Caenorhabditis elegans: one gene and its partners. The protein of the gene in region 2 purifies or fractionates together with the protein of the main gene of each other region. This does not show direct contact. Each region holds a gene or a part of one and is shown on either strand. Other genes may lie near its edges.

Region 1 (3,706 bases), on a different chromosome or scaffold from region 2:
CATTTTCCGATTGGCAACATGTTACAGTCATTCTTTGAGGATCACAAGATGCATCAGCAAGATAATTGTTCACACAATTATACGACATCTGAACAAGAATCCATTTGATTTTTGAATTTTCAGTTTGCAAAATAAACGTTTCAAAATCCGTCTAACTCACAGTGAAAGAAGTAGGATCTTCAATTTTTCGAGTTGCCACAGCTCCATTTTTTGTAAAAATCACTTTTTGTGAATTAGTCTTCATACAAGTTGGCATTTTTAGAAATCGTAAGTACAGAAATAAATTTTTAAAAAACGAACCAGAAGCGGTTGAGCAAAACGTGAAAATTTAAATAGGATAATTTAATATTTTTCAAATTTTTGGTAAATTGCCAAATTTTCCAAAAAAAAAAACGCAATTGAAGTATAAAGCTCGTAGAAAATATGTTTTTGTCAATTTCCTAAAATATGTCCTAAAATATCCTAAAACTAAATAAATCTAAATTTTTCAGCAGCTTCAGTAGAGACTGCAACATCTAATGAGATCTTCGTTGGTGACTACAATGCTCATAATCAGTTCAATCCAAGTTTTTTTAAAACTTAAGCAGGAGCTGAGGCAACAAAAACAGTTGTGTAAAAGTCATGAATATTTAGGTTGTCGGGGGGTTCAATCCATAACTAACTTACCATGTTTTGATATACTTCCTTTCCCCTCAAACTACACGAATGTATTTTATGATAGTTTTTGTAGTGTAATAACTTCTAATAACTTGTCTAATAACTTGTATCTTACTTGTTTCTGCTTTTATTATTAATACATTATAATAAATTCAAAAACAAATTTGTTCAACTTTTAAGTAGGGAAAAATTGAATAATTACCAAATTGAATAGACACACTAGTTGTCAATAGATTAGTAGGTCTGGAACAAATTGGTAAACTGTACATATAGTAAACCATATATAATAAATATATTTACTAACCAGCTCATGAATGTAATTTTAATTCAATGTTTAAAATTAATAAAACTTATCTAAATTGTTTTCATGCCCGTTTTTTAGTATACTCACTTACTACAACTCTTATCTTATCTACTACAATAACCTACAACTTAACTCTTATTTGTCTCCATTTTCCCGCTCCTCTGTCTCGATATGTTCCGTTTTCTCCAAAACTGCAAAATTGTATGTTTGTCAGTGTCTCCACCATTACACCACCGTCTCAACCCTGCAAGACCGGTGCATACACGCTCCGTCGACGGCCACGCGGTTGGTTATTGCCTGCGTAGCGACCCACACACAGTGATGGGATACCGAGTTCAACCGTATTTACGTAAGACCTTCGCAACTGTTTAGGCAACTTTTGAAAGTCTTTTTTTGAAAAGTTTCAGACTGTTTTCTTGTGATTTTCAAGACAAAACTGTGTAAGTATTAGGGAATGCTTGGTTTTTGTCTTAGATATAGTATCTACCTACAATATGCTAAGTTGATATGATAAATTATTGATTGATGATGTTTTTTCTATTTGTCATCATTTTTAGGTTATTATGGTTTAAATCAATTTAGATACATTCAATTTGCTGACTTTTTTGAAATGGCTGTAAAAACTAGTAGATTTATCAAATTGGATCTAGGTCCCCATTTCTTAAGGACTATGTATTTGACGCTTTACTATATTTTTTCTGGTTTTTATTTATTCTTAAATATTGTTATCATTTAAAAAATTAACTTGTGCGTTGTAGGGTACCAATATGTCTGACGATCATCACGACGACGAGCACTTCCACACCGGAGACTCTGGAGCTGCTGCCACATTCCCAAAGCAGTGCTCTGCTCTCCGTAAGAACGAGCATGTCATGATCAAGGGACGCCCATGCAAGGTTCGCTTTGTTTTAAAATGTTGAAAAATTAAATAAACTTAGAAGATGTTTTGTGAAAAAGTGCGATGAATGACTTGGATAAGTTTCGGCTGAAACTTGGTGATGCCAACTTTTTAAAACTGCTGAGCACTTTTTCTCAAACAAAAACCCAATAAATATGAAAGAACTATATATATAGTTATATAAACTATTCACTCATAGTTTTTTACAAAAACTGAAAGCTTACCAAATTGATAATTAATTCCAAAACAAAAAACTCCTGAAATTATTTAGCTCACAAAATACCCAGATAAGATGATATGATTTAATCCTAAAAACTGTTAGTCTAAACATTAGATAGGCCAGATATTTATATTCTCAGAGGCGAGTGAAGAGGCGGATCAGAGACACCCCGCCATGCTTTTACCGGAAGGAAATTCTAAGACAGTTAATTTGAATTTTAGTTCTAATTTAAATATTAACATTTTAAAATTGCAAAAAATATTTGAGGAATAAAAAAAAAGTATACATACAATCGTAGCACCATGCTTCTAGAATGTGGACAAATCAACTTTGCGTAACCATAAAAGTTATCTGAAAGTTGTAGATCGTCGAAATGTCGACCTCCAAGACCGGAAAGCACGGTCACGCTAAGGTCCACATGGTCGCCATCGACATCTTCACCAGCAAGAAGCTTGAAGATATCTGTCCATCCACCCACAACATGGATGTTCCAGTCGTCAAGCGTCGTGAGTACTTGGTAGGTTTTCCAAAATTTCATATTGCTAAACTATCACTAAATTTTTATTCAATTTTCAATATGCTTGTTCTTTCAGTTGATGGCCATCGATGACGGATATTGCTCCCTCATGGACCCAGAGTCCTGCGAGCAAAAGGATGACCTCAAGCTTCCCGATACTGAGCTCGGACAACAGATCCGTGATGCTTATGAGAAGGACGAGGGATCCGTTTTGGTCCAAGTTGTCTCTGCTATCGGAGAAGAGGCTATCCTCGGATGGAAGGTCAGCACCAAGGAATAAATCGTCAAAGGAACCCCCTGCCAACTGCTCATGAATCCTGATTCCCCCGTTCCACCCCGCAAAACTTTCACTGTATGAATGGTGCTGCTTGACATTCCATTCCAGAATTCAAGTATAACCCATCATCAAGTGCTCGTGTTATTTTTCTTGTTTTCATTAACTTTTTTTTTTGCTTTTTTTCAAAACATAACTGAGAATTTAATTTCAAATAAATTATCAGAAAATTTTGGTTTCCATTTTATTTAAAAACTATCAATCCACCTCCATGAATTCACTCGTTTTTTCTTTTGCCTTCTTGTTCCATCATCATCCGTAGGTAATTTGTTTCTGTTCCATCATCTCACACACTCTCTCTTATACACGCACAACAATTGACTAAATTTGATTTATAAATGAAGTTGCACGGAGAGTTGCTTTTCGATTCACTTTCATTTGATTCTGAATCTAGGAATAGTTGAAGAGAAAAGAAGCGATTTCATTTCCGGTACTGGGAGATATCTGACCAGAATCTTAGTCAGATGCTTCTTTTGTTTTTCGATTGACTAGGAAATATGTTACTAAAGAATAATTCCTAGAGTTTTTAAGTTTTTCAGTTCTAAACGCTTTCCTATAAACGCAATCCTGGAAATGTTTAATGACTCGTAAAGCAACCGTTTTTGACAAGAGACACCTGTGATTTATACGTTTTTCAAGCTTCATCAAAATAGTGCCTAGAATTTCCATTCGTTCTTTCAACTTTCAGTCTGAAAAGAAACATATCGATGTATCTTGTTAGGTTATTTTGGCTCACTTTTATAAAAATATCTTCACTTACTGGAACGGTCATATTG
Region 2 (3,302 bases):
CAATTCTTCTTGTCATTGTAATTCTGTGTCGTGACAGTCATCAGATGTGGTGCCTTGACGGTTCAGATTGTGCGATATCTAATACATGCTCATTGTGCGAAGGAGCAGCTTGTCTTCGAGTTCAGAGGTTGGAAGATCTCAAATTTTTAACCTTCCATCCAAATGGAAAACTATTTTTTTAACCAAAAATAAATTTAAATAAATAACCTTACAAAACCTTGACTTAAAATCAATTTCTATATTTGAATAGTTCCAAACTTAATTTTCAGAAACCATCTAAACAGAGTCTCAATTGCTCTCACTTGCCTTCCTCACGATACACTTATTCACACATACTATCCAGAAGGTTGCAAAAGGATATCGTTATCTGAGATAGCGTGTATGTGTTCGCACAGAGAATTCTGCAACACATCATCACGAACGACGATGCCGCTCAGTTTACTTGTATTATCTTCTTTCATTTTTCTAATTTTGTAATTTTCTATTATGAATTAATAAAATAAATGAATAAAACCGAAAATTCATAATTTGAGATGAAAAATTTAAAGAAAATAAATTAAACAAGGAATCAATCCAGATACTTAGCCATGAGTTCTTGCTTCTTTTGTTCCAAAAGCATTTCTTCAATGTCTTGTTGAGTTGGCAGTAGAACATGACGAATAGTCATTGGTCGTCCATCCTCTCCGATGACTGTAGACTCTTGAGTTTCCAGGTCGTCGTCATCGTCTTCTTCGACCTTATAGATATTTTCAGGTGCTGCATCGGAAGCAGTTTGTTGCTTTTGAGCTTGTTTCTCGGCAAACTCCTTATTGATTCGTTCAATGTTTTTCTCTTCAATTAGTTTTTCCAAAGGAATTAAGCGACCATCTTCGTCATCCAAGTAACCAAAATAGTGAGCGTCGATATTTCTCAATAAATCAGCACGATGGCGTCGTTGTTCTTCACCTTCTGTGCTTTTTTCGAATAGTTCGCGTACACCGGGAAGATCTTTTGCAGCTCCAAAATATTTGTAACCTCGGGAATTGCCCGTTTCCCTCCCTATTGCATCGAGTTCTTTTTGTGCATACTTTCTGAAAATAATAATAAGAATAATATGTCTAATTGTCATTTTTCTTACCGATAGTCCGTACCACCCAACTCTCGAATACGTTGTTCCCAAGCATGTTTCAGTTTTATCAGTCGATTAACTTCGTCATTCAAGTCCCGAAGCTTGAATTCACCGAGACCAGGATTTTGGATAGCTGTGATCTTTTTCGAAGCATCTCGCACAATCTAAATAAAGTTCAAAATTACAGGTTTTCATACAAAATCTAACCTCTCGTCTGAATCGCTCAGCATCTGACAAATTCCTGCAATCTTTCACATCGTGGGGTCTTCTGGCAATAGGACCCTGCAATTAAAATTATCTTGATATTAATATTCAAAAAAAAAGAGTAAAATGAAAAGAAAAACTTACCCTCTCCTCTTCCTCCTTCATTCTTCGCCATCGTGCTAGCGCCGTCATAGCCTTTTCCGCATTTCGGGCCATTTTTAAAGCTCGAGTAAGTCTGAAACAATTAAATTTAATTGCGAAATTAAATAAAAAGATATAAAAGCAGAATCAAACAAAAATATAAAGTAAATTGAGCATTTTTGTTTCGAAAAAATAAATGTTTGAAAATGAAATTTTCTAAATAGAGCGCACTTTCGCGCAATAGCGGAGTATCGTTGTGCAGCAATTGGCGGTTATTCAAATTCAATATTTTACACCCTTCAATCATTGAGCAATTTTTAAAGTGTTTCTTTCTGATTGAAAACAAATCATAAATGTAAAAGCTTTATTACAAATAAGTTCATTTAATGTTGAAAAGACATAGCTCTTGAAGCGAATCTATTTCGTTTATCATCAGTTTTGGAATTTAAATCATTTGAGACTGGAACTGCAGTGAGTCCAAATGGAAGACTTTGCCGTCGAAGGAATACTTCTGGCTGATGTGCAGGTGGTTCACAAATTGATTCTTGTGGTGATTGCTCTCTGTCCTCCACTTCTAAAGAAAATTATGGTTTTAGTAGCTAATTTTGTCAAATACCAGGTTCAATTTCACTCAAAGCAGGAGCAGGTTGAAAATTAATCCTGCTCAGAATTGAATGACGATGTCGTGTATGACCTGTAGGTGTAGACGGAACAGTTAATGTCTTTTCTCCTTCATCTTTTGGTTGGTCCCCTTGAACTGAAGGTGGTGGAGCAAGTGCAGGAGGAATTGCTTGTCTACAATAATATAGAATTAAGACTAAATAAGGAAGTATTTCCTTGAGCTTTATGGTTAATCTTTCAGACGCTCTAAGCTCATAAAAAGTTGTTTTATTTGTGTCGGATGGGATATTTATTTTGAATATAATACTACTTCAGACATGTTGACTCACCGAAGATATCGAATAAAAGTGTGCCGAGACGCGTTGCTGTTTTTGGCATAAAATGGGCAACGATAGAACAATCCGGCAGAACATAGTGATAATATCAGAAAGAATACTGTAAACCAAAAGTTATCTTTTTTTTTCGAAAATGTGAATCCACCTATAAATGATCCATTTAAAGCGAAGAATCCAATTAACATAATCTGACTTGATGATAAAGCATCTCTACCATATCTGTATGAAGTGTGAGGTGTACGTGGCTGTAAAAATAAAATAAATGTTTCGAATCTCTGAAACCATTTCTTACAGTAATAAATGCACAAGTTGATTCATCTTCTCCGCAAGTATCCAATCCATCACATTCTAGACTCGAAGAAAAACAGTATTTGGAGCAATCTAGAAATCAGTAATGGTAAAACAGTTTTTGTGTGAAAAATGAGGTTACTGTAGCATAGGCTGTATTCTGGACATCTGATAGACTCATATGAAGAGCATTCCTTTGGATTTGAAAACAATAAAATCGATCGGAAATTCAGATTCATTGGAATTGTCAACCATACTGGAGTTTTCATTAATTGATAACCCTAAAATTTTAATAATTTCTCGTAACTGTTACGGTAATCTAACCTTTGGCTTGCTGTCCACAATGAACTGCATATCAGAGTTTCGTAATATAATTTCATTTGGATTCCGTGGTCTTCTATGGGAAAACATAAGGAAATTGGTAATGGAAACAAGTATAAGATTTCCATTTAGACTTTGAATTTCAATTTCACAAACTTCGGATGTTTCATCTTGCCCAACAGATAAGTAATCATCAGTTGTTATCATTAAAATATCATCGACGTATGCTCTGAAAACTTACGAATTCTCATGATCTCATTTTCTTAAAAATTGACTTCAAACAT
Region 3 (2,935 bases), 1.6 Mb from region 2:
CATTTCCCAGCATTAACACAATTGTGGTTCTGGCAAACGTTACTTGCTGACTTAACACATCCTTCCTCTCCAATTCCGTCACCAACATATCCATCTGGACAGTAGCAAGTGTAGTCTCCAACAGCACTGTATCCGTCGTCAGTTACCTTGCATGTTGCTAATTTATGGCATTTGTTTTTGACACAACTATCATCTTTCACACAATTTCCTCCATCGCCGGAGTATCCAGTCGGACACGAATCACAATAATAACTGCCAAGAGTGTTATGACATTTTGAAAGCGGAGAGCATACACGAATTTCACCTTCACATTCGTTGACATCAATACAAACATTTCCATCGGCTGAATTTATTTTACTTTTTGGATTTCAATGACAGATATTCAGTACATTTTTCGACACCTTCAAACTAACAAATTCTGATTTTTCACATTGTTAAGCCGAAGTTTATAAGACTTTCTCTCCTCATTCTCGGAACTGAGAAATCCAAACAAGTATTTTCACAAAAAAAGCTTGAAATTTGTAAGTGTTATACAGGGTAGGCACTTGTTCAGGCGTACGTGTCTACCTCATGCCTACCACACACCTATTGACCTATTTAAATGCCTACTTACCTATTTTATGAAAACGTTTTGGATACGAGTATATATTTTCTAGACAAGAATTAAACCAAAAAAATTATTTTATTTTTGATTTGATTGAACATATATAATTCTAACTTACTTTTATATCCTTTTGGACATCCGGAACACACAAACGATCCAGGCAAATTAATACAATCAACTCCTGGATGACATGGATTTGATTCGCATTCATTGACATCAACACACGTTGGATTGTTCTTATCACTTGAAACCTTGAAACCCCAATCACAAATACACTTGTACGTAGTTGTATCGGAAGATGACTGACCAGTTGGATCCACAATACTCTCAATACAATGCCCATGTGGACCACACAATTCAAAAGTTTTCGAGCAAGCGGACATATGATACTGACAAAGAGATCCATGATATCCGGATTGGCACTGACATTCAAATCCGCCACGGTTATTGATACATGTTCCATTGTTCTGACATCCAGCAGTTGTACCATTGTATACTGAGCATTCATCGATGTCAGCTTCACAAGTTGTACCGGTGAAATGTGGAGGACAAAGACAAGTGAATTTGGCGCCAAAAGATGGGATACATGTGCCTCCATTACTACATTTGTTCGGATCGCACGCGTTTATTGCTATCAATTTGTTGATTCCTCTTGAAAGTTAACAATTTATAAAAAATAGTCAAACCTAACTTGTTGTGTCTTACATGATTTGACGTGTCATTTTCACCAATAATCCCCGTCTCCTCATGTCTCTGGCCATTTTATCAGTTTTCCACTTCTTCAAGATATTCACTTCGAGTGTCATATTTCGAAGCTAAAAATTGATTTCAAAAAGAGAAAAAAATGTATGGAATTACCGCTACTAGATAATGTTTTGCAGAATTTAAAACCACTCTCATTGCAGAAGTCTGCGTGTCCTGGCGACTTTTCAAAGTGGTGAACATTTGAGAAGTGTTCTCAATACGTCCAACAAGTTGCTTGAAAGATGCCTGAAAATTATTTTGAATATTGAAAATTGTAATTCGAGTTAATTTTCAAAAACTTCCATAGTTCAAACATTTTCAAACAATTATTCATTTTGAAAAGTTTTATAAAAATAATAGAACTTAATTATCAAAATTTACGTGACCGTTTCTCAGGAAAGTGATTCTTTTTAAATAGTTGTCAAAAAGTAAATTTTTGCGTGATCTCCGACTATCTAATTCCAACTCTTACTCGTAATCCACGTTTCGTTCCTTTTTCTAATCTGACCGTCTATGTTTTAATCAGTTCTTGAAACATGGGCAAGAAGAAGTCTGATACGGCATCCGGTGGAGCTATTCCAGAAGGAGACAATGAGAAAGGAAAGAAGGTTAGTTAAATTTTTCATTATAGTGTTCCCAGAAAACCTATTGATTTTCAGATCTTCAAACAACGTTGCGAGCAATGTCACGTTGTCAACTCATTGCAAACAAAGACTGGACCAACATTGAACGGAGTGATTGGAAGACAATCCGGACAAGTTGCTGGATTTGACTACTCGGCTGCCAACAAGAATAAAGGAGTTGTATGGGACAGACAAACACTTTTCGACTATTTGGCTGATCCGAAAAAGTACATCCCCGGAACTAAGGTAGGATTTTCTAGGAAGTGCGATGGAGTATTAATAAGAAATTTTCAGATGGTCTTCGCTGGTTTGAAGAAAGCTGACGAACGAGCTGATCTCATCAAATTTATTGAAGTGGAAGCTGCCAAGAAACCATCGGCATAAGCCTCTACTAAATAAGAAATCTGTGTGTTAAGCAAAGCAACGTATCAAAAATAAATGTTTTGTAGAAGCTCGTTCATTTTTTTTTTGGATAATTTCAGCAGTCTACCTACAATATCTGGAAGTTTGGAAACATCTGTTTCGTCCACATATATTCTTCCATTTCCAGTCGTTTTGAACGTTATATTTTTATCCTTTCCGGCATGCAACCACACATTTCCATCAACCATTAGAATACGTGATCTGAAATGTTTTCGGACGTAATTTTGAAAAAAAATTAAAGGATTCGTTACCTTGTTTCATATGAATCTTCGATGTGTATTTCTTCATAGTCAATTGAAGATACATGATTTAATAAGCCGAATAGTATTAATGAAAGAAATAACTGTAAGTTAGGTATCATTTGTTGCGAAAATGAAATGAAATTAATGGAGTTGCACGGTGGAGGGTGAATAATTTGTTTATGTCATTGATACCTGATTGGAAATTGAGACGATCCATTTGTTTATAACAGATTATGTAAGAGAACACCTGCCAATGTTTAGGTTATGAGTAACTAGTGGGCCGTTGAATTTGTGTTCGG

What was found.
Region 1: the proteins of isy-1 (region 2) and iff-2 fractionate together in Caenorhabditis elegans (co-fractionation; one large-scale study listed by BioGRID). This does not show direct contact.
Region 3: the proteins of isy-1 (region 2) and cyc-2.2 fractionate together in Caenorhabditis elegans (co-fractionation; one large-scale study listed by BioGRID). This does not show direct contact.

Annotation. Positions count from the first base shown.
Region 1 is NC_003280.10:8,558,978-8,562,683, reverse strand, and holds iff-2 (Eukaryotic translation initiation factor 5A-2), read left to right. Parts: upstream 1-1,719; 5' UTR 1,720-1,728; coding exon 1,729-1,857; intron 1,858-1,911; exon of another isoform or gene 1,912-1,993; intron 1,994-2,443; coding exon 2,444-2,596; intron 2,597-2,672; coding exon 2,673-2,876; 3' UTR 2,877-3,103; downstream 3,104-3,706. Other genes in the region: F54C9.14 (PID domain-containing protein), read right to left, coding at 1-88, 161-256. UniProt on the Caenorhabditis elegans protein: Translation factor that promotes translation elongation and termination, particularly upon ribosome stalling at specific amino acid sequence contexts.
Region 2 is NC_003283.11:10,999,153-11,002,454, forward strand, and holds isy-1 (Protein isy-1), read right to left. Parts: upstream 1,548-3,302; 5' UTR 1,529-1,547; coding exon 1,457-1,528; intron 1,391-1,456; coding exon 1,316-1,390; intron 1,273-1,315; coding exon 1,118-1,272; intron 1,071-1,117; coding exon 569-1,070; 3' UTR 511-568; downstream 1-510. Other genes in the region: nssp-65 (Activin_recp domain-containing protein), read left to right, coding at 1-127, 270-477; F53B7.4 (Low-density lipoprotein receptor domain class A), read right to left, coding at 1,837-2,027, 2,070-2,248, 2,404-2,509, 2,555-2,654, 2,702-2,790, 2,840-2,978, 3,022-3,247. UniProt on the Caenorhabditis elegans protein: Regulates the processing of the mir-60 microRNA (miRNA), which in turn negatively regulates the expression of the transcription factor zip-10. Does not affect the splicing of zip-10.
Region 3 is NC_003283.11:12,611,167-12,614,101, reverse strand, and holds cyc-2.2 (putative cytochrome c 2.2), read left to right. Parts: upstream 1-1,883; 5' UTR 1,884-1,884; coding exon 1,885-1,956; intron 1,957-2,007; coding exon 2,008-2,217; intron 2,218-2,265; coding exon 2,266-2,355; 3' UTR 2,356-2,420; downstream 2,421-2,935. Other genes in the region: cubn-1 (Cubilin homolog), read right to left, coding at 1-343, 723-1,255, 1,310-1,419, 1,463-1,594, 2,466-2,595, 2,646-2,755. UniProt on the Caenorhabditis elegans protein: Electron carrier protein. The oxidized form of the cytochrome c heme group can accept an electron from the heme group of the cytochrome c1 subunit of cytochrome reductase.